Arabidopsis thaliana: one gene and its partner. The protein of the gene in region 1 interacts with the protein of each later gene in a pairwise test. Each region holds a gene or a part of one and is shown in the gene's direction. Other genes may lie near its edges.

Region 1 (16,650 bases):
TCGTAACTTACACACACATACACTGGACCAACAACCCTCAATAAACTATTCGGAACCAATCGATCTCTGATGCCTAAAATCCTACAAACCATCTGTTAGCAAAGAACCGCCGAGTGTTGTTGTTGCTGCTGCTGCTACTTTTTTATACCTGTGTTAGGAATTGGTTTTGCTCTATGTCTTCTCACGTTGAGTCTTTGTATGAATCAACCTTTCTCTCTGCGGCACCTGTTTGATTGGTGTCTGGTTCTTGGTGGTCATTGTCCATGCTTATGCCTTCAAGTGGAGGGAATAATGAAAGTTGGTCCTGCAAGAACAAAGTTGGTAACTGTTTCGTTGGCTGGCTCTAAAACTAATTTTGAAAGATTACTTTTTTTTTACCTTGAGAGAGGTGTTCTCGGTGGTAAGCTCTTCGCATTGGCTTTTGAGCTTGTTGATTTCTGCTCTGAGATTTGTGTTTTCTTCGTTCAACACCTCAGCGCGTTGGGCCAGCTCATCACATTCGGCCTAAATCACAAACACCGGGTCAATAATTTGCTCACATGGGCGTGCTAGAGGTGATCTAAATGGATGTTTAGTACCTGTTTACGCAACCTTGATCTTCGAGCAGACTCCCTATTGGACTGCTTCCGTCTCTGTCGCTTAAGTTCTCTATCGTCCTAATTGCAAGACAAACAAATCTGAGTTTGAGGATAAAAGGCGATTTAAATCTGCCTAAGAAAGGTGGGCACACCTGTAACCAGGGTTGTGAATGGCCACCATCTCGCGAGCCTGGAGCAACAACTCCAGGAACTGGTGTAGATACTTTCCCATGCATTCCAGGGATACCAGCTGAAGTTGGAGCACCCCAGTAATCCATCCCAATATTTAAATTTGTTGGTGGGCCAGGAACACCTGCAGCTGTCATTGGCATGATTGGTACGGTCTGGCTCACCGGTAGAATAGGTGTACCAGCACTTCCATTTTGCGGACCATTGGCAGAACCACCATTCTCTGATGCTGCTTCAGCTGAATGGAAAAACAATAAAGAACTCTCTGATAAGTAGCTTTCACGGTGTTAGCCGCATGATAGTAACGAAAGGAAAAAGAAAAGATCGTAAACCAACCATCCTTTCCATCTAGTCCAGATCCCGAATCCTACATGAATTGCAAGCAAATCAGAATCAGTCATAATTACTGTAAGAACTCCTCACTCCCATAGAAAGACGGAAATAACATTAAGACTTTTCGAGCCCAAAGATCCAACAAAAACGTTTGATGAGGCGACATATGGAACGCAAAGGTTATGTGTTCCAGTGTGCAGATTCCAAGTGTTAGCAACACTCATAAAATTTAAATGAGAAATTCCAAGGGACTGACAGATCTGAATAGGTCAATCCAAATTCAGATTCATGCTAGATTCTTAGCAAACAAACTAGGTGTTCCCCATGAAACAGCGCCTCATCACAACATGGTTGCCAGAATGAATGCATACCAACAAAGATATAATTCAAATGAAAAGGCTGATGATAGCTATCCGAAACTTACATTTTGAGAGTTCCCATCACTTCCTTCACTTGAACCATCAGAAGCACTCTCCCCACTGTAACCAAACAATTCTGACAATCTCAGAGCAATAATAGAATGAATATTATCTAATGAAGTAGCATAAGTCCAAAAGGGGTCCTAGTCCAAACATAATAATATTTCCAAGATAACAACCATGCATACATGCCACGTCACATAGACCGGATAAAAACAAGCGTGTTACATGCCTTTTGGAGTAAGCTCCATTAGCTGATGCTCCTGAGTTTTTCCCAGGTTCATTGTTCTTTCCTGTAATCATGTTCAAACTTCCCAAGCTTCCTCTTGATCTTTTGATGGGCAATTTTTCCTTCACTTCAGATTGTTTAGCATCACCATCAGTGCCGCCTGTAGTATTGCCCTGCATAAAATCATCTCTCAATTATGTTCCTACAATAAGCAAAGGTAGCAAAGACCGTTTGAGAAAGAACGAATGAAGTATGATGGGACGCTAACTCACAGAAACTTCAGTCATTCCATTTGGAGAAGGCATAGCATAAGGGCTATAGGGATAAGAACCCTGATACAGAATGGAACATATTAAAGATATAATTAACAGCTACATTTTAATTTATGTTCACTGCAATTGAATCTACTACAGTTGGCAGTACCGGAGGCATTGAAGGATGTGCGTACATGCCACCTGGGGGATACATTGCAACATAAGGATGAGGCGGAGTTCCATAAGGAGGCATCATATGCTGCAAAATTTAATGTCTCATTCAGTAATCAATCAAAGATATGATGAAAGACAGCTGAACGAATTCGTTATAAGTCAATAAGAATGTTGCAATTTTCCAGCACTCTGAACACCGATAGACATCACAGTAAAAAGCGATAAAGCGTAAGCCAGTTCACCTGAACTCCCCACATATAAGGGTGAGGTTGGGGACTAGATGCCACATAACCATGAGGCGGCGGCATAGGAGAATATGCCTGTCGAAAAGAAAGCCGTAAAGATCAAATGCAACAAGAAAAGAGAGCGCAGATCCATAGATGGAGGAATCTGTCCTAACCTGAAAACCAGACCAATCTGGAGTAGCCATGCCAGCACTCACAGCCGATGAAGGTTCCTACAAACACAGAAATATTCCAACTAAAGCATATCACTGATAGGTATACAAAATCACAATTAGCTGAAATCTAGAATATTTTTATTTTCCTTTCTAGTATCTCACTTCTAATTCGGCTTCTAATAGCTTAAATCATGGGATTTGTTTTCCCTTTTTACATTATGGTCCTCTTAAGAAAATTGGAAGCAGAGAAGGGCAAACACAAACCTGTGAAGAGGGAGGGGCAGTAGAAGAAGGAGGAGGTGTTTTAGGTTCCTTCTCTTTACTCGATTTTTCCATCTCATTGCTAGCCATTATCACGTTCACTAATTCCTAAAACAACTCGTGATTGCTTCCTGCAAGACGAAGTCAGCTATAAGCTAACTCACTACGAGATCTACTCATGCATAAACTCAACACATCCAACAATTCAACATTTCAGCTAATAAGATGTTAGAGATTTCGTTCCAAACTTCTCCTATTGATCGTTGACCAATACAGCTATATATATATATATATATATATATTGATAATCCAACAACAGCTTAAAGGTCTAGTCTTTTTCTCAAGATGCAGAAACAGGTAAATAACAATGTCGGACCGGAGAAACACAATAACACAAAACCGAGAAGTATATATAGAAACCCTCGAAAAGCCCTAGAAAACTCAATCGAATTCAGAAGAGAAACGCTAAAATCTAACCCCAAAGATACAAACTTGGAGAGATGTGAACAGAAATACCTAACGACTGGTAATATTTGGAACCCCTCTGAGCACAATTTCAGATGCGGTGTGAATCTCTGAGCTTAATTTTGCAGAAATTTAAGAGAATCAATGTCTCTTGACCAAGATAAATAAATTTGCTTGATTTGTTTTTTGTTATCTGACGGAGAAGAAAGGGGGCGTGGAGTTCACGAGGAATAAAAATTGCTTCTTTGCCCAAATTTAAGTATTTTTATTAAAAGCCCTTCTTTATAACTTATTTATGAACTTTACCCATTTAAAGCCTTACAATAATTTGTAACCCACCCAAAATGTCACAATTTGATAAGGAAAAAAGTTTCTCCCCAATTGAAAAGGAAGATCTTTAAAATCAAAATTGACATAAATATATGGAAAAAGTGTCTTTGCAAAAGTATATTTTAAATGTTATGAATAGGTTTATGTATACAATACACATTGATAGAATGATAGTGCATTGACTCATTGGTAATGTTACATGTCATCAAAAACAATAAATGACTTTATGACAAAATAGTTAGGAACACTAACAAAAAAAACTATTGGGCAGAAAAGAGATTCTTAATAAATAAGAGGGTGATAAAGAAAATAATAAAAAGACTAGGGTGAGTGAATTCAAGGGAATAGAAAAAGCAGAGCTCTCTCTCTCTTTTTAGCCCTCTCTTTCAAAGTTGAAGTTTTTGAAGGCGTCTCCGGCTACACAGCAATGGCTTCTGGATCAGACTCAGAAGTAGAAAAGGAATCCATACACCACAAAGCACTAGCGGAATCGAGTTTCAATTGCGGTGATTTGATGTCGGCCTTAACTCACGCGCGGAAAGCTCTCAGCTTGTCTCCGAACACGGAAGGTTTATCCGCCATGGTCACCGCTTTCGAGATCATCAGCTCCGCCGCCACAGTCGCCGGAGGTTTTCCGGAATGGTACAAGGTTCTAAAGGTAGAGCCTTTTTCTCATATTAATACCATAAAACAACAGTATAGGAAGCTAGCTTTGGTGTTGCATCCTGATAAGAATCCGTATGTGGGGTGTGAGGAGGGGTTCAAACTTTTGAATGAGGCCTTTAGGGTTTTCTCTGATAAGGTTAGGAGGACTGAGTATGATATGAAGTTGAGGATTAGGATTCAGGGGGAAATGGTTAGCGGTGGTTCTGGTGGTGATGAAACGTCAACGTTTTCGGCGGTTTGTTCGGGTTGTAGGTCGGTGCATAAGTTTGATAGGAAGTATTTAGGACAAAATTTGATGTGCCCTACTTGCAAGAATAGTTTTGAGGCGAAGGAAGTTGAGAAGGAAGAAGAGGGTAGAGAAAATGGAGCTTGTACTTCCAAGATCATAACATATAGTAGGAGGAAGAGGCCTGTTGATAGCGATGGTGAAAGTCTGATAAAAGAAGTTGAGACAGGGGAGATGAGTCAGGAAGCAGCAGAAGCTATTAATGTATTTGAGGGGTCGGATGAAGAGGATGAAGGGATGATGACTTTGGCAGAAATGCAAGCGGTGATAAAGAGAAATAAGTCGAAGGTGAATTCGAAGATCACTGAGAAAGATAGCAGTGGAGAAGAAAACATGGGAAGGGAAACGCAGAAGAGATCTTTAGCTGATGCCTCCATGACTGAAACGTTAAGGGAGATGAGTACTAACGCAGTGAATAATAAACAAGAAGTTTTAAAGAATAGGAAGAATATAAAGAAGAAGAAGATGGCGAACCACAAGGATTTAACTGAGATAGTGGATTTAGAATACGTGCCTCGGGTTGATAGGAAGAGGGATCGTGGTAAGTTAAGCCAAGAAATGTATATGGAAGACGAGGATTTTGAACTGTATGATTTTGATAAGGACCGGATGCCGAGGAGCTTCAAGAAAGGGCAGATTTGGGCGATATATGATGGTGGTGATGACAAAATGCCTCGGAGTTACTGTTTAGTTAGTGAAGTAGTCTCTTTGAATCCTTTTAAGGTATGGATCAGCTGGTTGGATTTTGAGAGCGAGAAACTAATCTCTTGGATGAAGATTAGTTCTTCTCATATGCCTTGTGGTAGGTTCCGGGTTTCAGAGAAAGCTTTGATAGAACAAGTGAAACCATTCTCTCACCTTGTCAACTGCGAAAGGGCTGCACGAGAAATATACCAAATATATCCAAAGAAAGGCTCGGTTTGGGCAGTCTACTCAGAGACAAATCCAGGTCTTCAGAGAAGAAAGACCAGACGCTATGAGATTGTCGTATGCTTGACAATGTATACTGATGCATATGGATTAAGTGTAGCATATTTGGAGAAGGTTAACGACTATAGCAACCTGTTCAAGAGACGGGATTACGGGTATAATGCAGTCAGGTGGGTCGAGAAAGAAGATGTTGCAGCCTTGCTCTCTCATCAGATTCCGGCCAAGAAGCTGCCTGAAGATGAATCTGGAGCTGATCTGAAAGAGTCTTGGGTGCTTGATCTTGCTTCTGTTCCTCCTGATTTGGTTTCTGCCACTTAGTGAACATAGACACTTCTTTGTTTTCTGTTTCTCATCATCTCATGACAAAGAGAAACAAGCACTTCATGTCTATATTTGTCTAACTTAATCATATTAGTTTAGATCAACTATATTTAGTGCCCAAACCCAAAGTCCAAAGACTTTCCCACAAGTTTATAAATTGCATAGATAAGTTAAATATTGTGTTATATTACCAAATCTTAGTGGCAAAAAAATAAATTTTCAAAGTTTAATTATCTAATTGACTAATTGTAAACTTAAGAATTTTATATTGTTTAAAATATATGCATAAATTTCGCGTGGGGCAAAAAGAAACGGAGTTTAAAAATCGGTGAGCCCTAGAAATTCTCAAGGCCTCAAAGTGAATTATTTCGTCCATCAGAGGTTTGAGAGAGAAAGAGTGCGCAGAGTGAGCGAGAGCATAGCGGTGGAGTGTCGCCACTGGTAACTCCGACGATTTTTCTCGTTTGCGTAAGCCGAAAGATCACTCTTTTTTTGGTGTCGACTCTGTTTCTGCCGTATGATTCTTTTGGAACCCTAGTCACAGGTTTTTGATTTTGCATGGTTTATTGTAGCGAGTTAATTTTTTCCGCATATGGGTCTTGATTCTTCTTTCGTTAACTCTTCTGGGTTTGCCGATTTTCAATCAAACAATCTTGAAAGATCAAATCTTTTCCTCTACGTATGTAGTCTTTATATCTCTGTTTTATCTGTTCTGACTATCTGGGTTTCAATTATCAAGTTTGCTTATTTAGACTTATGCATATCAGATTCTGTCTTGTAAAATCTCTGTCTTTTGATTGAAAACTGATACTGGAAGTAAACTATAGATTATATTCTCTGTAAGTAGAGCATGTAGGTTGCTTCTGCATCTGTGTGTTGCTTAATAATGTTAGTACTTAGTATCAATTGTTGTTTGGAGGTGTTGGCTCATCTTATCTGCTTTTGAAATGATGTAGGAGCTGCAACGCGAAGGTGTGATCTTTCCACTGAAACTAGCTATCAAGATGAATTCATTTCCTGCACAAAACCTTATGCTATCTGCTACAAACGCAAACAAGGACTCAGGCTTGCGTACGTCTAATGCTCATTGGTTACATTCATGTATCGCCGTTCCAAAGACCACAGGCATTGATCTTTCTCAGGAACCTCCTGCTGAAGGTGTGATGGTGCCTCAATCTCATTTGTTTCCTCCTCCTATTAGAGATTCCAGAAACGATACTGAAACTGTGAAACAGAAGTCCGTAAATCAGTCTCCTTCGAAAGCTTTGAAGCCAAAACCGCAAAGGAAGAAACGCTCTGTATCCAACAAGTCAAAGAAAACACCTAGCATACCAGAAACAAAACGTGAGAAAAAGAATCTGGACATCAACATTGACATCTCAAGCTTTGATACTTCTGGGGTTCCTCCTCCTGTATGTTCATGTACAGGCGTTTCAAGGGTTTGCTACAAATGGGGCATGGGCGGTTGGCAATCCTCATGTTGTACCATCAGCATATCGACATACCCACTACCCATGAGCACAACAAGACCTGGAGCTCGTCTTGCAGGAAGAAAAATGAGCAATGGTGCTTATGTTAAGCTCCTTGCGAGGCTTGCGGACGAAGGCTATGACCTCTCTCACCCTCTTGATCTCAAGAACCATTGGGCCAGACACGGTACTAACAAGTTTGTGACCATCAAGTAGTCGTTTCATTAGTTGGGTTTGATTTAGATATTAGCTTTTGTGGCTTCTTTTTAAGTCCTTTTCACAGTCTTAGCCTTTTGGTATATATTTGGGAGTACTGTATTTGCTATAGTAGAGGTATCCTTTACTTGTTTCCCCTGAAGTAGAGTATATTTCCTGCAAAAATCCCAACAGTCGTGGAAACACATTATGGCATGAACTTGGGTAACTTCGGTCATGCAACACATTGCTTTGGAATTCACAAATAAATTTCAATAAGAAATGAATATTAGCGAATCAACAAGAGACTCTGTTTTGACTTCATACGAATATCCTGCAGGGATGGTCTTAAACTTAGGCAGTCATCATATATATTATAGGTGACTTCACACTCATACCAAATTAAAAGGAGATAAATCTATTAAAAAGATGAAAAAAACGAGGATTCAGTAAAGTCTTTAGAATCAACTTTCAACTCAAGTTGTGCATGGATGCAAATACGTCAAGAAAGTCATAAAGTCCCGAGACTTTTGACCTCAAATTAATGCTTAGAAGGATCCATGACTTGACCAAGGAACAGAATTAGTCCGCTTCTGTATTCTTTGACCAGGAAGAGGAAAGGATGATCAGCCACGAAGTCATACCTCTTCTCCGCAGGACCACAACAACCAACAAATATTACAGCAGCCGCTGCAGCTTTCGATCCCACTTCATCGACTTCGATGCAAGATTTGTGGATGATAGTGGATGGCACCTCCAAACCCAAACCCTTGAGAGCTTCAGAGGCTTCGAAACCAAAATCAAATTTAAACCTTGGAATCTTGAGTTCTCCTACATCTGCCCAGTGGCTAGGAATGTCCTCTTTGCCATTCAAGAATCCACGAGTAGAAGCTAATCTCTCCAACATTGCAGGTGTTAAGACTAAGTGGCTTAGACAAAAGAAAGATGAAGAGGAATGAGACACTCTGATTGCAACAGAGAGTCTGAAGTCTTCAAAGGAAAAGGTAAGTCTCTAAAGCGTGTGGAAGGTCTAAGGACAAGCATTAACGTTCTCATAGTTGCTTTCTCGTACGGATTCGCGACCCTACTTGAAAGAGCCAATGAGAGACCAGCTTGGAGACCAAGTTTAAGGACCACAAGTTTTGTCTTGTTTTGACTCTGTAACAGAGGAGTGAGACAAGTGAGAGAGAAGTAAGTGTAAGGCTAAGGGTTTGGGAAAACAGAGTGAACATAAGAGAGAGAGAGCTTTGTAAGTTCCTAGAGAGGGTGAGGGACAAAGCTGTAATCTTGAAGTGGTTTAGTGGATTCCGGGATTTTTCCCGGCGAGATGTAGGTTCCTCACGTTGAGGTTCCGAACTCGTTAAACCGTGTGTGTTCGTTTTTCCAGCCTTGCATCATTCTTCTTTAACAGCTCTGCATCACACTCATTCTCTGCATCTTCATAGTTAAACACTTCTCTATCTTTGCATAACTTTTTCTTTAAGTTTCAGTCTCTGCTCAACATTCTTCAAGTCAGTTCTTAATGCTTCAAGTTAGTAGTTGTGTGCTTGTGAGTAAGAAAGCTAGAGGTAAAGAGGCTAAAAACCTCACAGCAGGCAACCCATCTTTCTCATCAGGGAGATAGATTTGCATAGAGAAACCACGACTGTCTTCGCGTCCTTCTCTATACGGTAGATTGAGGACTTTGAAACCTTCTTAAACATCAAGACTGTCTTCGTGGGCACCGGTCATGAAGGGCACACGTACTTTGGTTCCATCAAGAAGGTGAAAGTCGGATTCTTTTGTTAGCGATGGATTGAATTGACTATCCCATCTTCCGTTGAAAAACAAGGCATTAGCAAATATGAGATCAGTCCAAGAAGAAGCAGAGTTTGGTGGAAGAAGATCAGTGATGAGTCCATTTGTCTGCTCTTCAACCCATGAATTCACCTCTTTATTCACTTCATCAGCCTTTCAAAAACAAAACAACAAAAAAAACAGAAAAGCTATCAACATCTATGATTTATGTAGAAGTTAGGTTAATTTGGATCAAAGAGAGTACCTTGGTGCGAAAGTCGACTTGGTTGAAAGCAGCTTTGTACGAATTCAGCAAGAGATCCTTGAAAGAAGGTTCCACGTAGAGAGTCTTTTCGATCCAGACGCCATTCGCTGCCGATATCGTCGGGCCGCCACTCGGGGTGCTGTCGGCGAGGATGGTGGTGACGATCCCGGAGGAGACAGCGTTAAGCTCATCGGGAGAACTGGCGGCGACAAAACTGAGGATGACGCTGAGTAACGCCGGCGAGAAGACGAGGTTCGAGGTTTTCCCGGCGGTGCTAGCGATAACGTGCTGAGTTAACCTCAGAATGATGTCGTTTAGGTTCCCAACTGACCCTTTCAGGTTCTCCAGGATGTCGTATTGATCATTTACTGATTCTTTCAGGTCCATCTTTCTCACGGCGAGGATAAGTTGGATTTTTTTGGATTCTCTTAAACCGACTTCTCTTGTTTTCTTTTATGTTTTGAACAAGTACCAGAGATGGTCTCGACAACGAGTACTTGTAGAAGGATCCAGAAGATCCACAAGTTAATATGAAAATATTTTATATTTATTATATTCATATGTAAAGATTTAGTTCTATCTTAGTTTAGGAAACCATTTTACTATATATAAACATATGTAACCCAAAGCTTATCATTATGAGAGTAAATATATATAACTTCTTCCAATTCCTAAACTCTCATCACATTATCGCTTTTCTTTGTAAGAACAGAACCAAATGATAGTGAATGTATCAAGAATAATTTTATAAGTAAATTGTATAAACCGATAATCGGTCCATAAATAAATAAATAGATATGAAATTAAGCAAGAAATCTGCAAATTTACACACATAAACCCTAATTACCTTGTTTTGAGCTAAAAGATCCTAACTTCTTCTTCTTCTTCTTTTTTTTCAAATTGAGGAAAAAAAAACCTTTGTAATTCAAGAATTTTCGATCGAGATTTCATAGTTATTTTCATACATTCTTAATATTAATTGTTTGTGAAACCTAGTTTATATAGCCATCATATTAGGCCAAAGAATAAAAATCATTGAAAAGAGATAAATCTTTTTAAAAAGATGAAAAGCACGAGGATTATAACTAAAGTCAATTTCAACTTTTAACTCAAGTGATGCATGGAATCAAATACGTCAAGAAAGTCATAAGAAGATTTTCCTCAAATCCCGAGACCTTTGGACATCAAATTAATGCTTAGAAGGATCCATGACTTGACCAAGGAACAAAACAAGTCCGCTTCTGTACTCTTTGACGATGAAGAGAAAAGGATGATCAGCCACGAAGTCATGCTTCTCTGGCGGAGGACGTCGACAACCAATTCCTCTGAATGCGGCAGCAGCTGCAGCTTTCGATCCCACTTCATCGACCTCGATACAAGACTTGTGCATGATCATGGACAATGGCACCACCAAACCAAAACCCTTGAGAGCTTCCGAGGCTTCGAAAGCAAAATCAAATTTAAACCTTGGAATCTTGAGTTCTTTGATAACCGCCGAGTGGCTAGGAAGGACCTCGTTGTCCTTCAAGAATCCACGAGTAGAAGCTAATCTCTCCAACATTGAAGGCAACCCATCTTTCTCATCAGGGAGATAGATTTGCATTGAGAAACTACGACTGTCTTCGCGTCCTCTTCTGTACTGTAGATTGATGACTTTGAAACCTTCGTAAACATGTGTGTATCTGCAGGAGGCACCAGTCATGAAGGGCACACGTACTTTGGTTCCATCAAGAAGGTGAAAGTCGGAATCTTTTGTTAGAGATGGATCGAATTGACTATCCCATCTTCCGTTGAAGAACAAGGCATTAGCAAATATGTGATCAGTCAAAGGAGCAGATTTAGGGTTTGATGGAAGAAGATTAGTGATGAGTCCATTTGTCTGCTTTTCAACCCATGAATTCACCTCTCTATTCACTTCATCAGCCTTCCAAAAACAAAACAAACAAACACAGAGAAGCTATCAACATCTGTGATTTGATTTCACAAAAGCCTTGTGTATATACTTTGACTAAGCACACTTTTCAATATATTAGTACAATCCCTAGTGATTTTGTATAGAAACCAGTTTTTAGCTAAGTTATTGATCACCGAATGATTTTCATATATATAGGTGAAAACTGAAGGAAATATTTGGAGAAGATTTAAGGGAATTAGGTTACACTAGCATTTTTTTTTTCCGGTCAATAATGTTATCCTTATACAGTTATACGCTAACATCTATGATTTGATTTTCACAAAGGCTTGGGTAAATCTGATTACGAACACATCTAAGTCTAAGCATGTTACTATGCTACATCTAAGCATGTCACTATGTTACATACATGATACAACTAAGCATGTAAAGTATAATATAATACCTAGTAAATATATAAAGGAGTTAGGTTTATTTGGATCAAAGAGAGTACCTTGGTGCGAAAGTCAACTCGATTGAAAGCAGCTTTGTACGAATTCAGCAAGAGATCCTTGAAAGAAGGTTCCACATTGAGAGTCTTTTCGATCCACAAGCCATTCGCTGCCGATATCGTCGGGCCGCCACTCGCGGTGCTGTCGGCGAGGACGGTGGTGACGATCTCGGAGGATACAGCGTGAAGCTTATCGGTTGAAGAAGCCTGAAGTAAAGAGACAATCTTGTCTGCGGTGTCTGTGTCTCCGGGAGAACTGGCGGCGATAATACTGAGGATGACGTTGATTAACGCTGGCGAGAAGACGAGGTTCGAGGTTTTTCGGGAGGTAGTGGCGATCACGTGCTGTCAACCTCAGAACAATGTCGTTTTGATTCCCTACTGATTCTTTCAGGTCCATCATGGCCTTATATTGCTTCTCTATTGATTCTTCCAGGTCCATCTTTCTTTTTTTGGTAGTGTCCAGTTCCATCTTTCTTACGGCGAGTTAAGTTGGATTTTTTTGGATTCTCTTAGACGACTTCTTTCTTTTACTTCTCTTCTTTTGTTTTATGTTTTTGAACTAAAACCTCTTAACACAACACAAGAACCCTAATTATAGAGTTATCATAAATTATAGTTCTCAATCAAATTAATATATTTGTATAATCATATTTTCCTAAATACGCTCACGTTTTATTTCCTTTTCTTTTAGTTAACTTTTTTTAATCCAAAGTTGTGCTGTTTTCTGATTTCTTTCTTTTATTTTCCTTTTAACATTAAAAGGAGACCGACATGGCTACATAAATTTCGCATGTGCGTGAAGTAAATTTGCACCGGGACATTGTTAAACTGACAAACAAATTGGTGTATTTTCAAGGGTCCAAAACCAAAATCAAAACTTTATTTCATGTAACTTGTGTCCATATTTAAAAATTCTAACTGAACCATAGTTTCTTTTGCAAATTTTGACTTGATTGCTTTCTTTTTTTGACATAACGATGACTTGATTGTTTGAGGTGTGTATTTTATAAGGTACATGGTACTTTTGCCACTGCTGGCTCTGATGGTGCTTTCAATTTCTAGGACAAGGATAGTAAACAAAGACTCAAGATATTTTCATTTGTTAAATCATCTGGATAGAGCTAATAACTTCACAATTAACTAATAACTACGAAAGCCAAAAGATTAGGCGAGATTAGGTAAGGTGTAGTGTAATAAATCTGGCTTTGAACGTAGTACGTAGCATTAGCTGATTAGATTAGTTTTTTTTTAATATACTTTTTTTCCTTGAAAAAGAATAACGACAAATTAGTTAGTACCTAGCCTGTCCTGAAAAAGAATACAAGATACTTCAATAACACTTGAGTTCTTGAGCTGGTGGTTCAAATAGCTTAATTATTACTAGTATTTTAGTCATATTAAATAATCCGTCTAGTTGATTTGTAGCTTTCTCGATGTGGATTGAATGAATAGTTTATTCTCTCAAGAACAAAACAATATAGCTGAACCAGAAAAAATTGTCATTTTCCAATAAGGGAATTATTTCATTTTAATAATGCGATGAATCATCATTTAATACTAATTTTCAAAGCCAAAGAAAAGTTGTTGAAGGATAAATTAGAAGAGACAGAAAGAAAGAAGCCATAACAGAGAATCTGTTCAAGCCAAGCAAAGCTTAAAGCTTAAAGCTGAGAAAGCATTTCTTATTATCTATCAGTCCACTGCAATATTCTGGAGATTTCTTTGTGGCTCTGCTTTTGTTCTTTTCTTCTACTGTTTATTTTGTGTGTTTTAGCTTGTGAAATTCAAAGTGAAGATCAAGAAATTCGTCTATTCCAAAAAAATCGTATAATCGAATTCAATAGCATGGTTGGTATTTTCTCCAGGTTTTCTGTTGTTAGAGGCAGCCATAGACGAACACAGAGTGCCATCGTAAGCTCTCTTTTCTATTTGCTTGTCTGATTCCAGTAGAGGTTATATGGAACATGATATTTTGTTCTGTTAGTTGTGTGCTTGAGCTTTATGTTCATAGTGATTCCTTTTTAGTATGACACTTCTCCAGTACATTTGTTTAATTGTTGGACAGATTCTTTGCTCATATCATAGATGCTAACTAGGCTCAAAGAGTTGATGATTAGAATGGGAGATGTTTAGTGCTTCTTCTGTTCTTTTGAGTTCCTTTCATTGGTTCAAGATTCTCTCTGTTCTTTTGTAATCTGATTACCTTTAATAGATTTCAAGCTATAGTTGAATCTGAGACCCTTTTATTTATCTGGAAAAGCCCTAAATTGGTTTCAGGCTACACTTGACATGAAATCTTCTCCTATGATCAGGATGGCAGGGAAGTATTGTCTCCAAGATCTGATCTTGCTCCGGCAACTAATACCACAACCACTGAAACTCATGGGATCGAAGTAGCAACAGAGTTTAAACCGGTGGATCACCCGATGGAGCCCTTAGACAACGATCAACCGATCCAATGTCCACTCCCAGAGCCATCCATTCTCAATGTAAGATTCTTGAAAAAGTTCCAAGAAAAGAAAAAATTAGTTTTTTTTGATAGTGAAAACTGCAAAGATAGGAGTGTTTGTAGAAAGCTTCACTCTATTTTTTATGATCACAGGACGGGAGACTCTGGAAAGAGAGAGTGTCGGCTTCTTCGATGAGGAGACGAAGTGATTTGGCTATTGTCCAAGATGGGATGGATGAAGAATCTGATGTTTCTGTGACGTCAATTCCATCGCGGACTAGCCAATGCAATACCAACCGTCCGATCTTGCCTTCACTTAGTGCGCCGGAACACGACTTGCTTAATCTACTAGAAGAATGCAAAGTATCTGGTAGTATCTAGCTAAGAACCTGCATGGATGGTCTAGACTCTTTTTACATTTATGTGTAAGAACAAAACCAACTCATAGTGAATGAATGTTATTATATCTAACTAAAATCATCCACTTCATCCTCCGATAAACATAAAAGAGACATTGTATATCCAATGTTTCCCAATTAAGAGCTAGCGTTTCGTTTCATCAATAGGCTGATGCTACAGCTGCTACAGTAGCTTGCATCACACGCCACACAAGTTTCATTCAATTTCTAGTTCCTTTTCCATGCATCGATTACATTTCGATCTCCCCATTTGGTTTAGGAAAATTATGAGCAGAGTCTTGGTTTACCGGCTTCAGGATGGTTTTGGCAACAACATACGTTGTGTTTTGTTACAATAATAATAAAAAAAAAACAAAGTTGAATTCGCATGCTGTTACTATGCTATAAGCAAAGAAATTGAAAAGAGTCTAACCACTTGAATCATTCAAAAGTAAAGGCATGGGAAAAATGAACCAATGAATAAAGGCATAAAGCTCATATCAAAACACCGAGAACTAGCTAACGACAAATCTCTAAAACTCAAATTTCCTTCCAAATTTAAAACCAGTGGGCATAAAAGTTCAAATACGTCAAGAACGTCATAAAAACATTTTCCTTAAGTCCCGAGACTTTGGACATCAAATTAGTGCTTAGAAGGATCCATGACATGACCAAGAAACAAAACTAGTCCGCTTATGTACTCTTTGACGATGAAGAGAAAAGGATGATCAGCCACGAAGTCATACTTCTTTGGCGGAAAATAACAACCTCCACATGATCTTAATGCGGCAGCAGCTGCAGCTTTCGATCCCACTTCATCGACCTCGATGCAAGACTTGTGGATGATCGTAGACAATGGCACCTTCAAACCCAAACCCTTGAGAGCTTTCGAGGCTTCGAAATCAAAAGCAAATTTAAACCTTGGAATCTTGAGTTCCTTGACACCCGCCTTCTGGCTAGGAAGAACCTTGTTGTCCTTCAAGAATCCACGAGTAGAAGCTAAGCTCTCCAGCATTGAAGGCAACCCATCTTTCTCATCAGGGAGATAGATTTGCATAGAGAAACCACGACTGTCTTCGCGTCCTTCTCTATACGGTAGATTGAGGACTTTGAAAGCTTCGTAAACATCAAGACTGTCTTCGTGGGCACCGGTCATGAAGGGCACACGTACTTTGGTTCCATCAAGAAGGTGAAAGTCGGATTCTTTTGTTAGCGATGGATTGAATTGACTATCCCATCTTCCGTTGAAAAACAAGGCATTAGCAAATATGAGATCAGTCAAAGGAGAAGCAGAGTTTGGTGGAAGAAGATCAGTGATGAGTCCATTTGTCTGCTCTTCAACCCATGAATTCACCTCTTTATTCACTTCATCAGCCTTTCAAAAACAATACAAACAAAAACAGAGAAGCTAGCTATCAATATCTGTGATTTGATTTCACAAAAGCCTTGTGTATACTTCAAAGCACAAACTATTAGTATAATCCCTAGTATTCCTATATACAATCTAGTATTTAGCTAAGTTATTCACCGAATATGTTCATATAAGTGAAACTGAAGGAAATATATGGAGAAGGTTTAAGGGAATTAGGTTTATTAGGTTACACTAACATCTGTGGTTTGATTTTCACACAAAAGCCTTGCCTAAATCTGATTACGCACACATCTAAGTCTAAATGTCTAAGCATGTTACTATCTTACATACATCAAAAGCATGTTAATGTTAGTACAAGCCCTAGTAAATTTATATAGAAGTTAGCAAGAGATCCTTGAAAGAAGGTTCCACAGAGAGAGTCTTTTCGATCCAAACGCCATTCGCTGCCAATATCGTCGGGCCGCCACTCGGGGTGCTGTCGGCGAG
Region 2 (16,210 bases), on another chromosome or scaffold:
TGTTTCCCTTGGTCCCTTGCTGTGCTCTCTGGTACAAGCATCTGTCTCCGTCAGGTAGTACTTGAGAGAGTTACTTTTCACTTAAGAAAAGAAGTTCACATAAATCAGAAGAAGAGCTGATTAAATTTTGGTTTCAGGTTACGGCGAAGGAAGTGTATTCAATGATAGCCAAATACAAGGTAACTCATTTCTGTGCAGCTCCTGTGGTCCTCAACGCTATTGTCAATGCTCCTAAAGAAGACACTATCCTTCCTCTTCCCCATACAGTCCATGTCATGACAGCAGGAGCTGCTCCTCCACCTTCTGTTCTCTTCTCCATGAACCAGAAGGGCTTCCGAGTCGCTCACACCTATGGGCTTTCCGAGACTTATGGTCCTTCCACCGTATGCGCTTGGAAACCCGAGTGGGATTCCCTCCCTCCTGAGACGCAGGCCAAGCTCAATGCTCGCCAAGGTGTCCGCTATACTGGCATGGAGCAGCTTGATGTCATTGACACTCAGACCGGAAAACCTGTTCCTGCAGATGGAAAAACCGCAGGAGAAATTGTTTTCCGAGGGAATATGGTGATGAAAGGCTATCTAAAGAATCCGGAAGCGAACAAAGAGACATTTGCTGGTGGGTGGTTCCACTCGGGGGATATTGCAGTGAAACACCCAGACAACTATATCGAGATCAAGGACAGGTCAAAGGACGTTATAATCTCTGGGGGCGAGAATATCAGCAGTGTCGAAGTCGAAAACGTAGTGTACCATCACCCCGCGGTTCTTGAAGCCTCTGTTGTGGCCAGGCCAGACGAGCGGTGGCAAGAATCTCCGTGTGCGTTTGTGACACTTAAGAGCGATTACGAGAAGCATGACCAGAATAAGTTGGCTCAGGATATAATGAAATTCTGCCGGGAGAAGCTTCCGGCATATTGGGTCCCAAAGTCAGTGGTGTTTGGGCCGTTACCAAAGACAGCAACTGGAAAAATTCAGAAGCATATTCTGAGGACCAAGGCCAAAGAGATGGGACCAGTACCAAGAAGCAGGTTATAGGAAGTGATAAAGCTTTAAGAACAACATTTTGAAAATAATGTGTTGTATGTTTTTGCGGAACTTTGCCTTGTGTGTAAACTTTCAAATGATAACAGAAAATATTCTCTTTATTTTCAACGCTTTCATTGTGTTTATAAATCGTTTACTCTTGATTAATAACAGCGATAAAGATTGACATACTAATAGCAATGGTATAAACAACCATACTTAATTAAGTCCACAGAAAGATTTACACACTCTTGCAACAGCTTTTCTCACATTAAGCAACTCAAAACAATGGTGCTTTCACGTAACAAACATTGGCAAAACACACATGAGTCATACACATACAATAAACAAGGTATAAAAAGTCAACACTTGCCTTCAAGGCTCAAACTATTATCAGATCCCAGTCCCCATATTAATGAGGTCAAATATAAAGATAAGTGTAACAATAAAAGCATAGTCGACATTAGGATAAATTGTAGCCACTAATCTCTCATGTCCTTCATATACCTGTATAATATATGTGTAAGTAATCTATTCGAGTTATTTTTATCGCATTACTTATTTATTTGTTTGTTTATACCTGAGCGATGATTTTGGTAGAGTCTGCGACATAGATAGTACATGCACGTTTCATAAACCGACCTTTAATTGTGAAATCACAAGACGATTCTCTGGTCTGGTTATGTTTCAAGAATACTTCAACTCTTGTCTTCAATTGAACAGTCGAAGATCTTTTAACCGTGAAGATCTTATCATCTAAATCACTTCCTCTATACACTTGCCATCGATCGTGCTTACTTGTCACCTTTTTTACACATTCAAATCCAAGGCATAAACCAAGAAAATTCAACTCAGAAAAATCCGACCGATTAACTAAACAAAAATCAAGAGGTAATAACAAGTAACTATAATGAAAACCTTCATTTTCATGGTGACAATGGGAGAGTCATTAGGATCAACCAAGATTCTTTTGTTGTGGAGACCAAAGAGAGGCGTTTTGACTTTGAACACTTTGTTCCCGGTTGCGTCCTTCACTGTATCTCCGGTTATCGTTAGATCTAACGGCTGTGGACGAACAAACTCAGATCCTACGAGTGGTAGCATCGTGTTGCTGCTAGTGGGATCTTGTTTTGCCATTGTTGTTTGTTTCAAAGAAGATGATTAAAAAAAAAACAAGACATTTATCAACTTTCAACTTATTGATCTTTTTGGTCATCATGACTTTTTCCTAATTTATTATGAAACTAAAAAATATTTATTAACAAAAACAATAATGACTTTACAGATAATATTTAATTTTCCTTTCAATTTGTTTTGTCAATATCAATTTTGAAATCAGTTAAAATTTATAATATACCTAATTATAAAAAAAAAATTTCCAATATTGAATTATGAAATTAAAATCTCGCATTTAACTTGAGATATTGATTGAACATAATGACAACATATCCAACAAATTACCTTTGACCATATTCACAAGTGTCACACACTTTTTTCAATTTTTAAGTTCTCATTTAGGATTATTAATTGTAAATAATTATATATTCATAAATGTAAATGATTTTTTTTGCCAAAAATAAAAAACTTTGAGAAACAAAAATGGATCATCAATTAATTGTAATAAAACAAACTGAAGACCAAAAGTTATATATAAATAGTCAATCCTTAAGATCCTAAACAATAAAAACATTTGAATACCTCAAAAGAGTTCATAGAAAAATTTATTATGGGTAGTACGAAAACTTTGGTGACATGTTTCCTTGTAATAATACTTGCAGTTTCGTTGCCTAACAACAACGTTTTGGCTTCAGGTATTTTCAAAGTTTGGTTTAGCTATTTTGCAATTTAGTAGTGATCATTTCAAAGGCTATATATCTAAATATTTGGAATTCGTTATGATCACGTTTTTGTTTATATATATATTATACATGAATTCAAAAGTTTCGTTAAAAACTTTTATTTGGACATGTTATATAACTATTTTTTATTGGAATGATATAAAATTTACACATGTTGGTATTGATGATGTTTGATATATATGTGGACTTGTGTAGATGCAAGGATCGAAGGCTTCTCTTTTGACAACTGCAATATTAGGTGTTCCGAAGATTACTGGAATGATGAATGTAATAAGGACTGTCTTAGAGCTGGCTTTCAAAAAGGTGGACAGTGTGGTTCTCCTTGTATTCCATGTCCAGTGAAATGTTGTTGTCAAAAGTAATACAAACTTATAAATCCATTTTCTCTCAAAATTGATGATTCTAGCGTTGCCTTTATTTTCTCTAAGTTATTGGACTTGATTTGTATCTTATTCTTATAAATAAATGCAATGATATAAGAAAACTATATATATTGCAATAGTAATTTTTATAACATATTATTAATCATACATAAATAGCATAATAATGACTTCATCACAACTCTTTTTATTACATCTCTCATTAGCAATAACTTAATATTATCATAATATATTTTTGAAGATGAAGATGGAAATATTTAGTCAATGCTACAATTTAAGATAGAAATTAGAAAATTATCACTTAGAAATATAATTATTACAAGAAAATTAAAATTCATAGTAATCAAGAGATGGATAAACTATAATGAAAACCCTCATTTTCATGGTGGCAATGGAAGAGTCATTAGGATCAACCAAAATTCTTTTGTTTTTGTTTGTTTCAAAGGAGATGATCTTTTTGGTCATGACTTTTTCTTAATTTATTCTGAAACTAAAAAAAAAATTATTAAATTCGAACACATATTGATATTGGTGTATTAAACAGCGTCGTTTAGGAAACATCGTCTTGAGGTTAGAGACCAAATCAATGTTTCACTTGCACTCAGCTCCGTTCTGGTCACGACATGAGAGGCTTTGCTTCTTCAGCATCTAGAATAGCGACGGCGGCAGCAGCTTCCAAATCACTAAACGCTTCCACATCCGTAAACCCTAAGCTCTCAAAAACCCTAAACTCTTCAGGTAAACCCACCAATCCTCTGAACCAGCGTTACATTTCGCAAGTCATAGAGAGAAAAGATTGGTTTTTGATACTGAATCAAGAATTCACCACTCATCGAATTGGTCTCAACACTCGATTCGTCATCAGCGTTTTGCAGAATCAAGACAACCCATTACACTCCCTGCGATTTTACCTCTGGGTCTCCAACTTCGACCCGGTTTACGCTAAGGATCAGTCTCTGAAGAGTGTTCTAGGGAACGCACTTTTTCGTAAAGGCCCCTTATTGTTGTCTATGGAATTGCTTAAAGAGATTAGAGATTCAGGGTATCGGATTAGTGATGAATTGATGTGTGTTTTGATCGGAAGCTGGGGAAGATTAGGTTTAGCTAAGTACTGTAATGATGTTTTTGCTCAGATATCTTTTCTTGGAATGAAACCAAGTACAAGGCTTTATAATGCTGTGATTGATGCGTTGGTGAAGTCTAATTCACTTGATTTGGCTTACCTCAAGTTTCAGCAGATGCGTAGTGATGGCTGTAAACCGGATCGGTTTACCTATAATATACTTATACATGGTGTTTGCAAGAAGGGTGTGGTTGATGAAGCTATTCGATTGGTTAAACAGATGGAACAGGAAGGGAATAGACCCAATGTGTTCACATACACGATTTTGATCGACGGGTTTTTGATAGCAGGGAGGGTTGATGAGGCGTTGAAGCAATTGGAGATGATGCGGGTGAGAAAGTTGAATCCTAATGAAGCTACAATCAGAACTTTCGTACACGGGATTTTCCGTTGCTTGCCGCCGTGTAAAGCGTTTGAGGTTTTGGTTGGGTTTATGGAGAAAGACTCAAACTTGCAAAGAGTTGGTTACGATGCTGTGTTGTATTGTCTTTCAAACAACTCAATGGCTAAAGAGACTGGTCAATTCTTGAGGAAGATAGGTGAGAGAGGTTATATTCCGGATAGCTCAACATTCAATGCTGCGATGAGTTGTCTCCTAAAAGGGCATGATCTTGTTGAGACTTGTAGGATATTTGACGGTTTTGTCAGCCGTGGAGTTAAGCCAGGATTCAATGGTTATCTTGTGTTAGTTCAAGCTCTGTTGAATGCTCAGAGGTTCTCTGAAGGTGACCGGTATCTGAAACAAATGGGTGTTGACGGGCTTCTATCAAGTGTATATAGTTATAATGCGGTAATTGACTGTCTCTGCAAGGCTCGACGCATAGAGAATGCAGCTATGTTCTTAACAGAGATGCAGGATAGAGGTATTTCTCCGAATCTCGTAACTTTCAATACCTTTCTGAGCGGTTATAGCGTGAGGGGTGATGTAAAGAAGGTTCACGGCGTGCTAGAGAAGCTTCTTGTACATGGTTTCAAACCAGACGTGATCACTTTCAGTTTGATCATAAACTGTCTTTGCAGAGCAAAAGAAATTAAAGATGCATTTGACTGTTTCAAGGAGATGTTGGAATGGGGTATTGAGCCAAACGAGATCACATACAATATCTTGATTCGCTCCTGTTGTTCCACCGGAGATACCGATAGATCAGTGAAGCTGTTTGCGAAGATGAAGGAAAACGGGTTAAGTCCAGACCTTTATGCGTACAATGCGACTATTCAGAGTTTTTGCAAGATGAGAAAGGTTAAGAAGGCTGAGGAATTGCTTAAAACAATGCTGAGAATTGGTTTGAAACCAGATAACTTTACATATAGCACTCTCATCAAAGCTCTAAGTGAATCTGGAAGAGAGAGTGAAGCAAGAGAGATGTTCAGTTCAATCGAAAGACATGGATGTGTTCCAGATTCATATACTAAGCGTCTTGTTGAAGAACTTGACCTAAGAAAAAGTGGACTCTCGAGAGAAACCGTGTCAGCCTCATAGAAATTGAATCCTCGAGAGTGTGAATATCCTATGAAGGCTTAGAAACCGGAAAAGTGGGTTCGTTTCATTTGGAAATGTCTGAGAAAGAACCCGATCTTTGCCACGGGTTGCCTCTTTGATGCAGACGGAAGAGAAACAGAACATGAGTGCAAAATGCAGAACAGAGTATTAAGTTTTGTTCTTTTGATTGATCAAAGCTTTTATATATTTCTGAGTCCGAGAAAGTGGCGGCAATAGTAATGGCAGTTGGTTGGTACTTGACAGTCAAAAGGCAAAAGATTTTGTATGTTTAGCACTAGATAGCCTTGGCCCTAATTTATACCCTTACCGTGTAACAGTTTAGGAAACAACAGTTTTGCCAGATTATATTGGACATGAGTATTGAATGATTTTGTTGTTTCGATCTCAAACTAGTATGCTTAACAATCTTTTTTTCAACGTAAGAGATGAGAAACGAACTAAGAATAGACCAATATTGTTCAGGAATCAGGAAGCTGAGAAAAGAAGACAAAGCAAGAGTAGTAGTAATTAAACAATGCAAGAACCAAATATTTGGGTATTGTAAATGGACTAGTTGCTTTTGCCTTTTGCCAGTTGCTTGATTTCCACTGAACTTGGTACATAAGAGCACCTAACAGGAAAACTTTCAGAATCTCCGAGATCCACTTTTCTGAAGTATCCATTCTCTCCAATGATGTAAGCTGTGATACGGTTTCTCATCTCTTTGTCCTTATCAAAAACCACAACTACTTTCTTCTCCTCGTCAATGAAGAAAATTCCATCATCAATAATGAGTGGTTTCATGTCCACTGTTAAGAACAACTTTCCCCACGACACATTGTTGGGCTCAATCTTGTTAGTAATCCATATCTCCATCCTTGATATATTGCAGCGGTGAAGTAACACTGCAAGTTTCTCTTCTCTAACACTAGAGAGAGCCACAATATCTCCACAACGAGAGTGGAACGGCAGAGGCAGAGTCGGTCCAAATCTCTCTGTTGTAAAATCAAAAGAAATCAAGAAGTCACCCCTATAATCAGTATACGTATAAGAATTTCCTTTCACAGAGACATCCATTTTATAAAAGGCTGTCGCCCAATTGGAATTGACATCAAGAGCCCTCCATGAATTAGAGTCTAACTCATAGATTTCGTAGTCAACACGTTCATCATCAATATTTATATAATTGTGTTCAGAACTCAAAATTTTGTAGCTGCGGCACGATTTTTTCGTCTCGTATCCAATAGCATATATATATGCGTGATGGCTTCTAGGTTTGATCCACCGAGTTTGCCCCAAATACGGATTCCAAACCACATCTCTAGTGTTACTGAAGCTTTTTGTGATGCATACCAAACCACCGCAATGATAGACTCGACACATACCGATTGGGTTAATAATTTTACCATTACACTTTATAGATGGTTCAACGTCTTCTTCCTTGTTGAGATTGATGTTCATTAAACAAAACTTAGAATCCATCATCATGATCACCATAAATTCCTTGGCAGCTTTTGTTTGAACGAGTTGCTTCTTTGTAAAGCTTTCTTCTTTGGCTAAAGTGTTCCACTTTTTGCAAGTCAATCGTATTGCTCTCATAGAATACAGTGGACTTCTAGAGAGTATCTCCTCCAACAAATCATTCGGAAGTTTGGACATCTTTGTCATTGTTTCAGCACTCAAGGATGATCAATGTAATAGAAATTTAGGGTTTTACTCTCACGCTTTCCTAATCTTTTTAATCGACAAGAAATAAGTTAGGTAACAACTTTATATGCCAACTTTCAAAAGTTATTTCCGTGAAAAAAGAAAAGGAAACAATAATTCTTTTTACTCCCTAATGGGCTAATTAGTATAATTAAACCACTATAGTGTAAAAATTAAGGAAACAATAATTCTTTGGCCAGATTCTATTTTACATGAGCATTGAAGGACTTTAGTCTTGTTTACCTCGAACACTAAATAACAAAGGTTATATTTTATAGAACCCAAAAAACAAGTCTTTATTAGGTCTTTACGTCTTTATCTCCTCCAACAAATCCATTGGAATATTGGATATCTTCGTCATTGTCTCAGCAAGGTTTCGATGATGTAGAAAATAGGTTTTTTTTTTTTGACTTCATAGAAAATAGGGTTTTTTAATTTAGAGTTATATAGTCAAATAAGTTACGTTACTTTTTTATGCGGCGACCTTCAAAAGCTCTTTCCAGTTCCAATTTTCCAATTTTGTTGTATTTTGTACTAATTTCCTATATTATGGTAAAGGGCTTGTCTATGGAATTAAGCCCAATCTTTTAACTTTATAATCGGTCTTGTTTTTTGCTGATGGTTTCTGCAATGTGGTTGTTTGAGGAGCTTTGTGGTCCTAACTTGGCATCCAAGGAAGAAAACCTTGTCTTTGTAGAACTTTGAGGTTAATTTAGTCCTACAACTGCGAGGTTAATTTCTTTCTTCCTTAATAATCTGCTTGGCAAAGGGTCATATCAATGCTCAAGTACGAGTTACATTGATACACAAAGAATTTCAAATATTGAAATTATCTCATCTTATTGGTGAAGTCTTACATATGTTGCAGAGTGAAGCTCCAGAACTCACCCAAAAAAATGCTCTGATGCATACGAAGGAAACTCATAATCTCACTCTTTGTCTTGATGATAAATATGTTTGGTCATTGGTGGTCAGGTCTCAAATCATCTTTCTGTTGTGATATGATGAATTACTGCATGAATATGTCAAAGAGAAACTATCTTCTTTTTCATGTTAAAAGAACACACTGATTAACAATTCCTCTAGTTCCTCTATTACTAACAGAAATGATCATTGAAAAATTAAACGGAGGCTGATCACTTTTCAATTCCATCATATATAAACTGTTTGGAATAAAATCAAATATGCCTTAGTTAATAATTCATACAAGACATGAGAATACAAACTAATTTTGGATTTGCACTAAACTTGAAACATAAGTGGGGAAGAAGTTATGTTTGAAGATTCTTTGAAATTCACTTTTTTGAAAATATCCATCCTCACTCCAATGTTTAGAGTTCACACCGAACATCTTCGTAAGACCAAGATTGAACAAACCTCAAAACTTTGTGGTTGAGGCCGCATGATTTGTCATCCACGTATCCTATGCCATACTTAATCCTACGGTGACAACTTAACGGTTCGAACCACCGGGTTTTCTTTGTGGGTAGGTGCATCTGTACTGTAATTTCTTCTTCTGTAGCTCAACTAAAAAACTGTACTGCGTTATCATGCTCATGGGCCTGGACTATCAAATTGAGCCCAATGGATATTTATCTTACAGAATTTTGCCATTATTTTTTTGTTTTTTTATTAATAATCCAGTCATCATTCATAAGTTTTTAAAAAATTCATTTGTTGCATTGATTGTAAATAAAACCGACGTAAAACTTTATTAGTTTATTATAAATTTTGACATTAGAAATAAAATAAAACCAAAAACTGAAAAAAAAAAAAACGTGAAAACAGATTATTGTCAGGACAGCGACCAATAACAAACCCTAGCCGCAAAATTTGAAAGCGGCTAGTTTTAAAAAACAAAAAATCAAAACATTGTTTCAGATTTTAGTTATAAGTTTTTGGGCGGGTGGCACAAAATTAATAAAAGCTCCCGCTCGAGGGTATTTTAGTCAATTCAAATAACCCGAAATACTAGGGTTTCCGCCCCCGCCTTCCTCCTCAATTATAAAATTCCTCTCCGTTTGTTTAATTCTGTTGCTACTAACCGCCGTCTCTCTCTCTCTCCCTCTTCCTTATCATCAAAACTTGCTCTGCTCCGATCTCTTAAAAAAAAAAAGATGTCTGAGGGATCAGAAGATACGAAAACAAAACTCGACTCTGCCGGAGAGTTATCAGATGTTGATAACGAGAACTGCAGTAGCAGCGGAAGTGGCGGTGGTAGTAGTTCTGGTGATACCAAAAGGACTTGCGTTGATTGCGGAACTATCCGAACTCCTCTTTGGCGTGGTGGTCCTGCCGGACCAAAGGTGAGATTTTTAACTAACCCTTTCATTTCAATCTTCTTATAGTCTATTGGGTTGTTGTTAGATTCCGATCTAGTAGATCTAATCAATGGATCGCGAAATAGCATCTATATTATGCATGATCCTATTTTAGGTTTTATCGTTTTTCAAATTTATTTAGGTGATGAATCAATTTAGTGACCGGAAAGATCTGATCTCATATTGCTCTGAAGTTCAAATTTTTCTTATTTCTTTGGTTTGTCTTTTGCTATGTAGTCATTGTGCAATGCTTGTGGGATCAAGAGTAGGAAGAAGAGACAAGCAGCACTTGGTATGAGATCAGAGGAGAAGAAGAAGAACAGAAAAAGCAATTGCAATAATGATCTAAACCTCGACCATCGAAACGCCAAGAAATACAAAATCAACATAGTTGATGATGGCAAGATCGACATCGATGATGATCCGAAAATTTGCAATAACAAGCGTAGTAGTAGTAGTAGCAGTAACAAAGGAGTGAGTAAGTTTTTGGATTTAGGGTTTAAAGTACCGGTGATGAAGAGATCAGCGGTTGAGAAGAAGAGGTTATGGAGAAAACTCGGTGAGGAAGAAAGAGCTGCTGTGCTTCTCATGGCTCTCTCTTGTAGCTCTGTTTACGCCTAAGTGTTTCTCTGTATTAGGTCATAATCAAGTGAGAGCGATTTTGATTAACTTAATTAGATAGAGATAATATGTAATGAATGTGTAAGTTCCTAGTTTTTTGGTTCCACTAATGTTTTGTGTTCATTTTCTTGATGAATTCAAATATCAACACTTTTTTTTGGTTCTTAGTCATTCAATGCCATAATAATGAGAATTGGTCTTAATTTTTAGTGCCTCAAATGTCATTCTCTGTGTATGGGCCCATATGGCCCAAGATATTGGGCTTTATCGGGGGAATCGTGAGGCGCGTGATTCTAGTTGTCTTGTCTCCGTCAACTCCACCATTTTTTTGTTTTTTGGTCCATTGATGTCGTTTTTCATTTGATTTGAATTTTTATATGCTTTTGAATTCACAACTGGTTTCAAATTCAGATTTTGTATGGTTTAGAGTTTTTTTTATATATATATCATGCTGAGGTTGTATACTTCGATTTGTTTTTTCATTTTATTGAAGGATGGCAATTTTTCGATTTGCACTTGGCAGAGTATCTGTTTGTGTGATTAAAAGTTGTTATGGTAACTTTGTAACAGGGACAGTGTAAATTTTCGATTTGCAATTGGTTTTGTTTTTCATGTAAGCGTATGATTCAACCTTAATAAGCCATCATTAATAATTAATAATGGTGGACCAACAAAATTTTAAGTAATGTTAAATATGGCAAAGTCATGAATCATACTTATAATTTTTTTTTAAAAATCTAAAGTGGTGACGAAAATATAATTCATTTAAATGGATCACTGGTGGACGAATGGTGTGAGTGTGACATGGCTAGGTAGAGCCGTGAACCTCGAGAATGATTCAAATTAACGGGGCAACTTCGTTCAACGGGGGACTTTCTTTTGACCAAAGCTTCTATTTATGTGTTTCACCCTTATATTATGCAGTTTCTTCGATTTAGGACCATTACTTCCATTGATTCCTTTATTTTCCTAAGCAAAGAGTACAATTTAGGAATAACTTGTCGATATTTTCCATAAACACCATTTCTTAATTTTGGAGATACGTTTTCCTTATTATTTTTCACAAATTCAAACAAAATCTTCATAATATATTTTAGCTATCAAATCACACTCTCAATACATTCAAAACTTCCATAAACACTCTTAGAAATCACTAAAATTTAGTAGACAGAAATATCAGTAAATATTTGAATATAAGTCATTTAAGCGAACATTCTATAAACTGTGTTTGGTATCAATGTTTTATAGCTAACGATTAGGTGTAAATTACACATTCACATAATTACTAAGATATAGGTTGGGGTTGCATTTTTTTATTAACAGAAATATATGGTTCATCTTGTAATTTGAAAACTTAAACCCACTATTTTATAATTTTGTCAGAAGAACAAAACCTTGTCTTTGGCTTTTGTTCGTAACCTTTGTTTACTTGATCAAGAAAAAACATTAAAATCCGACCAAACAAGGAAATATACACATTTTCAACGCGGACATAAATTTTCATTACAGCGTCTTACTAAGCTGTTCTGTTCTTTAACGCGGTCTCTTCCTCTCTTCAAAATTAAACTTCCGATTTTTCACCTTTTCATTTCCAGAATTTGTTTTTTAAAAAAGAGATTTTTGTGAGTGAAGAGATTTAGAGTAATCATGGGTTTAACTCGAAATTTCATTTTATGGATTCTTTTGTCATCTCTCTTCACGGCGATTCAACTAACGTCGTCTCAACGCAACACTCCACCACCACGCTCTAAAGACGCCGATCTCTGCAACGGCGTGTTCGTTTCCTACACTTACTTAACCGGTACCAAGATTAAACCAAACGACACGAAGAACCAGCCGTACCGGTTCGAATCAGAGATCACGGTCCTAAACAACGGCCGCGACGAGCTTAAATCGTGGCAAGTCTTTGTTAAATTCGCCCACCGCGAGATTCTTGTTTCAGCGACCAACGCTGTTCTCTCTGACGGTTCTAGCCTCCCGGCTAGCGTTGAGAACGGGACAATCTTCGCCGGGTTTCCATCGGCGGATTTGAAGACGGCGATCATGACGGCCGGCGACGTAACTCAGATGGAAGCACGTGTTGAGCTCGTGGGTACTCAGTTTGGAGTTGCTCCGCCGAGTGTTCCGCTTCCGAAGAACATCACTCTTGTTAATGATGGATGGTCTTGTCCTAAACCCACTCAACAAGGTATCAAAATCATCTGAATCTTATGACTTGAAATCTTGAGATTTTTTAATGTATTTTTTCATTTCTCGTTTAATTGTTCATAATTTTTTTAATGAATTGTTGCAATTTTAAATATTATGTGATCTTGGGTTGCTTATGAAGGCATTACCAAGAGTTTTAAAAGTCGAGCAATATGATCACATTGACCAGGTCTATTTGTGATCAATAGAGTGGTTGAAAAATTCTATTGTTTATATAGATTTCTTGTAAACTAAAAGTTTGAACTAGTCTTATTAGCAATTGAGATTAGACCTTAAGTTTACTTAGGAAACTATCTCATGCTTGGCTTTTCTGATAAATGTGTGGAATATCTGATTAAACATTTTGGAATTTAAGCTGTTCAGTTTGCATATTTGTTTTTCTTTTACTTCTTGATCATAATAAGACTCTTATTGCTGCGAGCATAAATGTTTCCTTTGTGTTTCACTGACATTTCTTTTCTTCTCTATGGCTTTTTCCAGGTAGTAATGTTCTGCAAGTATGTTGCACACCGAATCCGAACATTACAACAAGCAAAATTGGTCAAAAGTTCCTTCCTAGGCAAGAAGGAGATCTAACCATAATGTACGATGTGACCAGAGCATATCAGTCGAGTTACTCAGCGCAGGTCACTATCGAGAATCATAACCTGCTTGGTCGGCTTGACAATTGGGATCTAAGTTTTATGTGGATGAAAGATGAGTTTCTCTTCTCAACCAAAGGAGCTTATCCAAGTGTTGTCGATTCGTCGGATTGCATCACTGGTCCTCAAGCAAAATACTATAAAGATCTTGACTTCTCTAATGTCATGAGCTGTGCAAGAAGGCCACACATCATAGACCTACCCCTGACTAAGTATAACGATACCAATGTCGGGCGTATCCCATACTGCTGCAGAAATGGAACTATTCTGCCACGGTCCATGGATCCAGAGAAGTCTAAATCGGTTTTTCAAATAGAAGTTTACAAAATGCCTCCTGATCTCAACATCTCCTCTATAACACCTCCCCAGAGCTGGCAGATTAAAGGTAACCTTAACCCGGATTACAAATGTGGCCCTCCTCTTCGTGTCAGCTCAAGCCAGTTCCCTGATACAAGCGGTTTGCCTTCAAACAAGAGTGCATTTGCTAGCTGGCAAGTCGTCTGCAACATCACTCAACCAACTCCTCCTAAATGCTGCGTCTCATTCTCTTCTTATTTCAATGACTCAGTAATCCCGTGTAAGACCTGCGCTTGTGGAGGTTGCTCTAGCGACAGAGTGGCGCGTACTTGCAGCACAACTTCTCCAGCTCTTCCTCTTCCATATCAGGCTCTTCTAATTCCATTTGACAACCGAACCAAACTTACCAACGCTTGGGCAGTGTTAAAAAACCGGAAAGTCCCGGACCCATTACCTTGTGGAGATAACTGTGGAGTCAGCATAAACTGGCACCTAGCTACAGACTATCGAGGCGGATGGACTGCTCGAGTCACACTCTTCAACTGGGGTGATACTGATTTCGTGGATTGGTTTACCGCGGTTGAACTGAGAAATGCTGCACCCGGTTTTCAGAAAGCGTACTCGTTTAACGGAAGTATCATCGCGGTCAACGGGAAGAACACAACTGTTTTAATGGAAGGGCTCCCTGGACTGAACTATCTCCTTGCAGAGAAAGACGGAAAAAACCCGAGTGAAGACTTTCGGATACCCGGGAAACAGCAGTCGGTTATCTCCTTCACCAAGAAACTGACTCCTGGAATCAAAGTTGGTTCCAAAGATGGGTTTCCCACCAAAGTACTCTTCAACGGCCAGGAATGTTCACTCCCTTCTGTACTACCCACGAGCAACAGTCACAGGAAACATGTATCCACCTTTCTTCTCATCCTGACACCATTTTTGGCTCTACTGTTTCTTCGGATTTAAAAGTTCCAGTGAAGGACTTTCCTCATTAGCCAGAAAATATACAGTTTTCTTGATTCTTTCTAACCAGATTTGATGCAGAATTACTTCTACTACTAGTGGTGCTTTGTGCACCGTGTGATTCTTGAATTTCGTATGATCAGATTTTAGTAATCAGTATGTATACATACAAATATTGAACAGACAAATCCCTTTGTGTTTTGATCTTGAATTGCTTTGATTTCACGTTGTGGCGTTGTACTAAATTAAGTTTGTTCGAATTATTCTAAGCATTTACTCGAAATACATACTTACAAAACCCTAAACAGCCTCACTACATAAATGAGGAACAAAAGAATCTCCAAGGATATTAACCCCTAACATGAATAATTATTTCTTATATAATCTGCCATTTAAAATTTCATGCAGACTACATATATATCAAACAAGTTTTAGTAGATCGTCGTGTAAAAATGATACAGTACAGATCCGGGTAGTCCCTCCGGTTTATCGGTTTTTTTATCCAATCAAACCGGAATGTTATCGATGGAGTATGCGTCAAAGTCGAATTCGCCATCAACCGGTGCAATCCCTTCCTGTATATCAATAATTCAAGATTGTGTTTTTCAACTTTTTTGGTTCACTGATTTTTTTTGTTATTTAGTTGTAATTTGCATTATTATGAAAAAGACATGCGACCAATGGTGAGAAAGCGTCTGAGAGTTGTTATATATTTGATTTTGAACGCAAACATGTACGTTGACGGATCAGATTATGCTTCTATATAAGTTTGACAAAAAAAAAAAAATCAAATCAAACCTGCTTAAGAAGTGCGCTCATAAGATCTTCTTGATTACTATACTGCTCGTGAAACGCCATTGTTGCTGTATCCGTAGCCACTCTCTCTGATTTCACCCTCACTGAACCACCGTTTCCGTCTGCATAAACCTGATGGTGCTGTACCATTCCCGATGGTGGCTGCTGGTGGTTTCGGCCATGCTCGGTGGCTGCAACTGTCGTGTTGTGTCTTGACATGGACGAAGAAGAGTAGGCTTCTGAAGCGGAAAACGCAGCGGATTCTGAGTCCTGATGTGAGTCAAAGGCTATTCCAATATTCCTCAGATCCCAATCATTCTGTCTGGTGGTGAACATGTCGTAGCTCGGCGTAGTGAAACCCGCTTCGGAGCTGTTAACCTCTTCCTGGTAAGAAGTGGCTTTCCGAACCGGTACTGATATCCCTGGTGCACTTGCCAGCGGGAAACTGTTCACGGGAAGTTCTGGTTGGAAGTTGTTATAAGGCATCGAGCTTGATGAGTGTTGTGTTGTGAGATTAGTGTAACTTGTCGGTAACACTCTGCTGCTCTCGGGGATATTGTTCCTTCCAGAGAAACCACTTCTCTCGGAAATGCGGTTTGATAACATCGGCTGCCTGATGGATGATTGCGAAGAGGTTAGCATAGGCGGTGGTCCCCGAGGCAAAGACTGCTGACCCGCTAGAGGCATCAGCATTCCGTTGTTTTGAACACTATTTCCAGCTCGAACAGCAGCAATCTGTTGTTGAATACTCATTCGATTACCCATAGGAAGCTGCTGTTGTAAACCCGTGGGGACA

Evidence for each region.
Region 2: the proteins of BPC7 (region 1) and GATA17 interact in a two-hybrid assay, tested with the Arabidopsis thaliana proteins (one large-scale study listed by BioGRID).

What each region holds. Positions count from the first base shown.
Region 1 is NC_003071.7:14,923,099-14,939,748, forward strand, and holds BPC7 (basic pentacysteine 7), read left to right. Parts: upstream 1-6,197; 5' UTR 6,198-6,427; coding exon 6,428-6,514; intron 6,515-6,791; coding exon 6,792-7,520; 3' UTR 7,521-7,570; coding exon of another isoform or gene 7,571-7,676; 3' UTR 7,677-7,794; downstream 7,795-16,650. Other genes in the region: bZIP16 (basic region/leucine zipper transcription factor 16), read right to left, coding at 182-304, 379-504, 579-656, 731-1,005, 1,104-1,134, 1,525-1,579, 1,752-1,921, 2,021-2,080 and 4 more; AT2G35540 (DNAJ heat shock N-terminal domain-containing protein), read left to right, coding at 4,060-5,832; AT2G35555 (serpin), read right to left, coding at 7,571-7,676, 8,144-8,406; AT2G35580 (Serine protease inhibitor (SERPIN) family protein), read right to left, coding at 10,730-11,464, 11,946-12,235, 12,285-12,384; AT2G35585 (cystic fibrosis transmembrane conductance regulator), read left to right, coding at 13,791-13,856, 14,258-14,434, 14,548-14,775. UniProt on the Arabidopsis thaliana protein: Transcriptional regulator that specifically binds to GA-rich elements (GAGA-repeats) present in regulatory sequences of genes involved in developmental processes.
Region 2 is NC_003074.8:5,758,055-5,774,264, reverse strand, and holds GATA17 (GATA transcription factor 17), read left to right. Parts: upstream 1-9,504; 5' UTR 9,505-9,688; coding exon 9,689-9,877; intron 9,878-10,129; coding exon 10,130-10,513; 3' UTR 10,514-10,768; downstream 10,769-16,210. Other genes in the region: AAE7 (acyl-activating enzyme 7), read left to right, coding at 1-54, 138-1,034; AT3G16900 (LURP-one-like protein (DUF567)), read right to left, coding at 1,416-1,529, 1,603-1,827, 1,941-2,159; AT3G16895 (Cysteine-rich protein), read left to right, coding at 2,749-2,833, 3,077-3,243; PPR40 (pentatricopeptide (PPR) domain protein 40), read left to right, coding at 3,885-5,864; AT3G16880 (F-box and associated interaction domains-containing protein), read right to left, coding at 6,435-7,532; COBL8 (COBRA-like protein 8 precursor), read left to right, coding at 12,161-12,701, 13,202-14,622; RR1 (response regulator 1), read right to left, coding at 15,126-15,194, 15,418-16,210. UniProt on the Arabidopsis thaliana protein: Transcriptional regulator that specifically binds 5'-GATA-3' or 5'-GAT-3' motifs within gene promoters.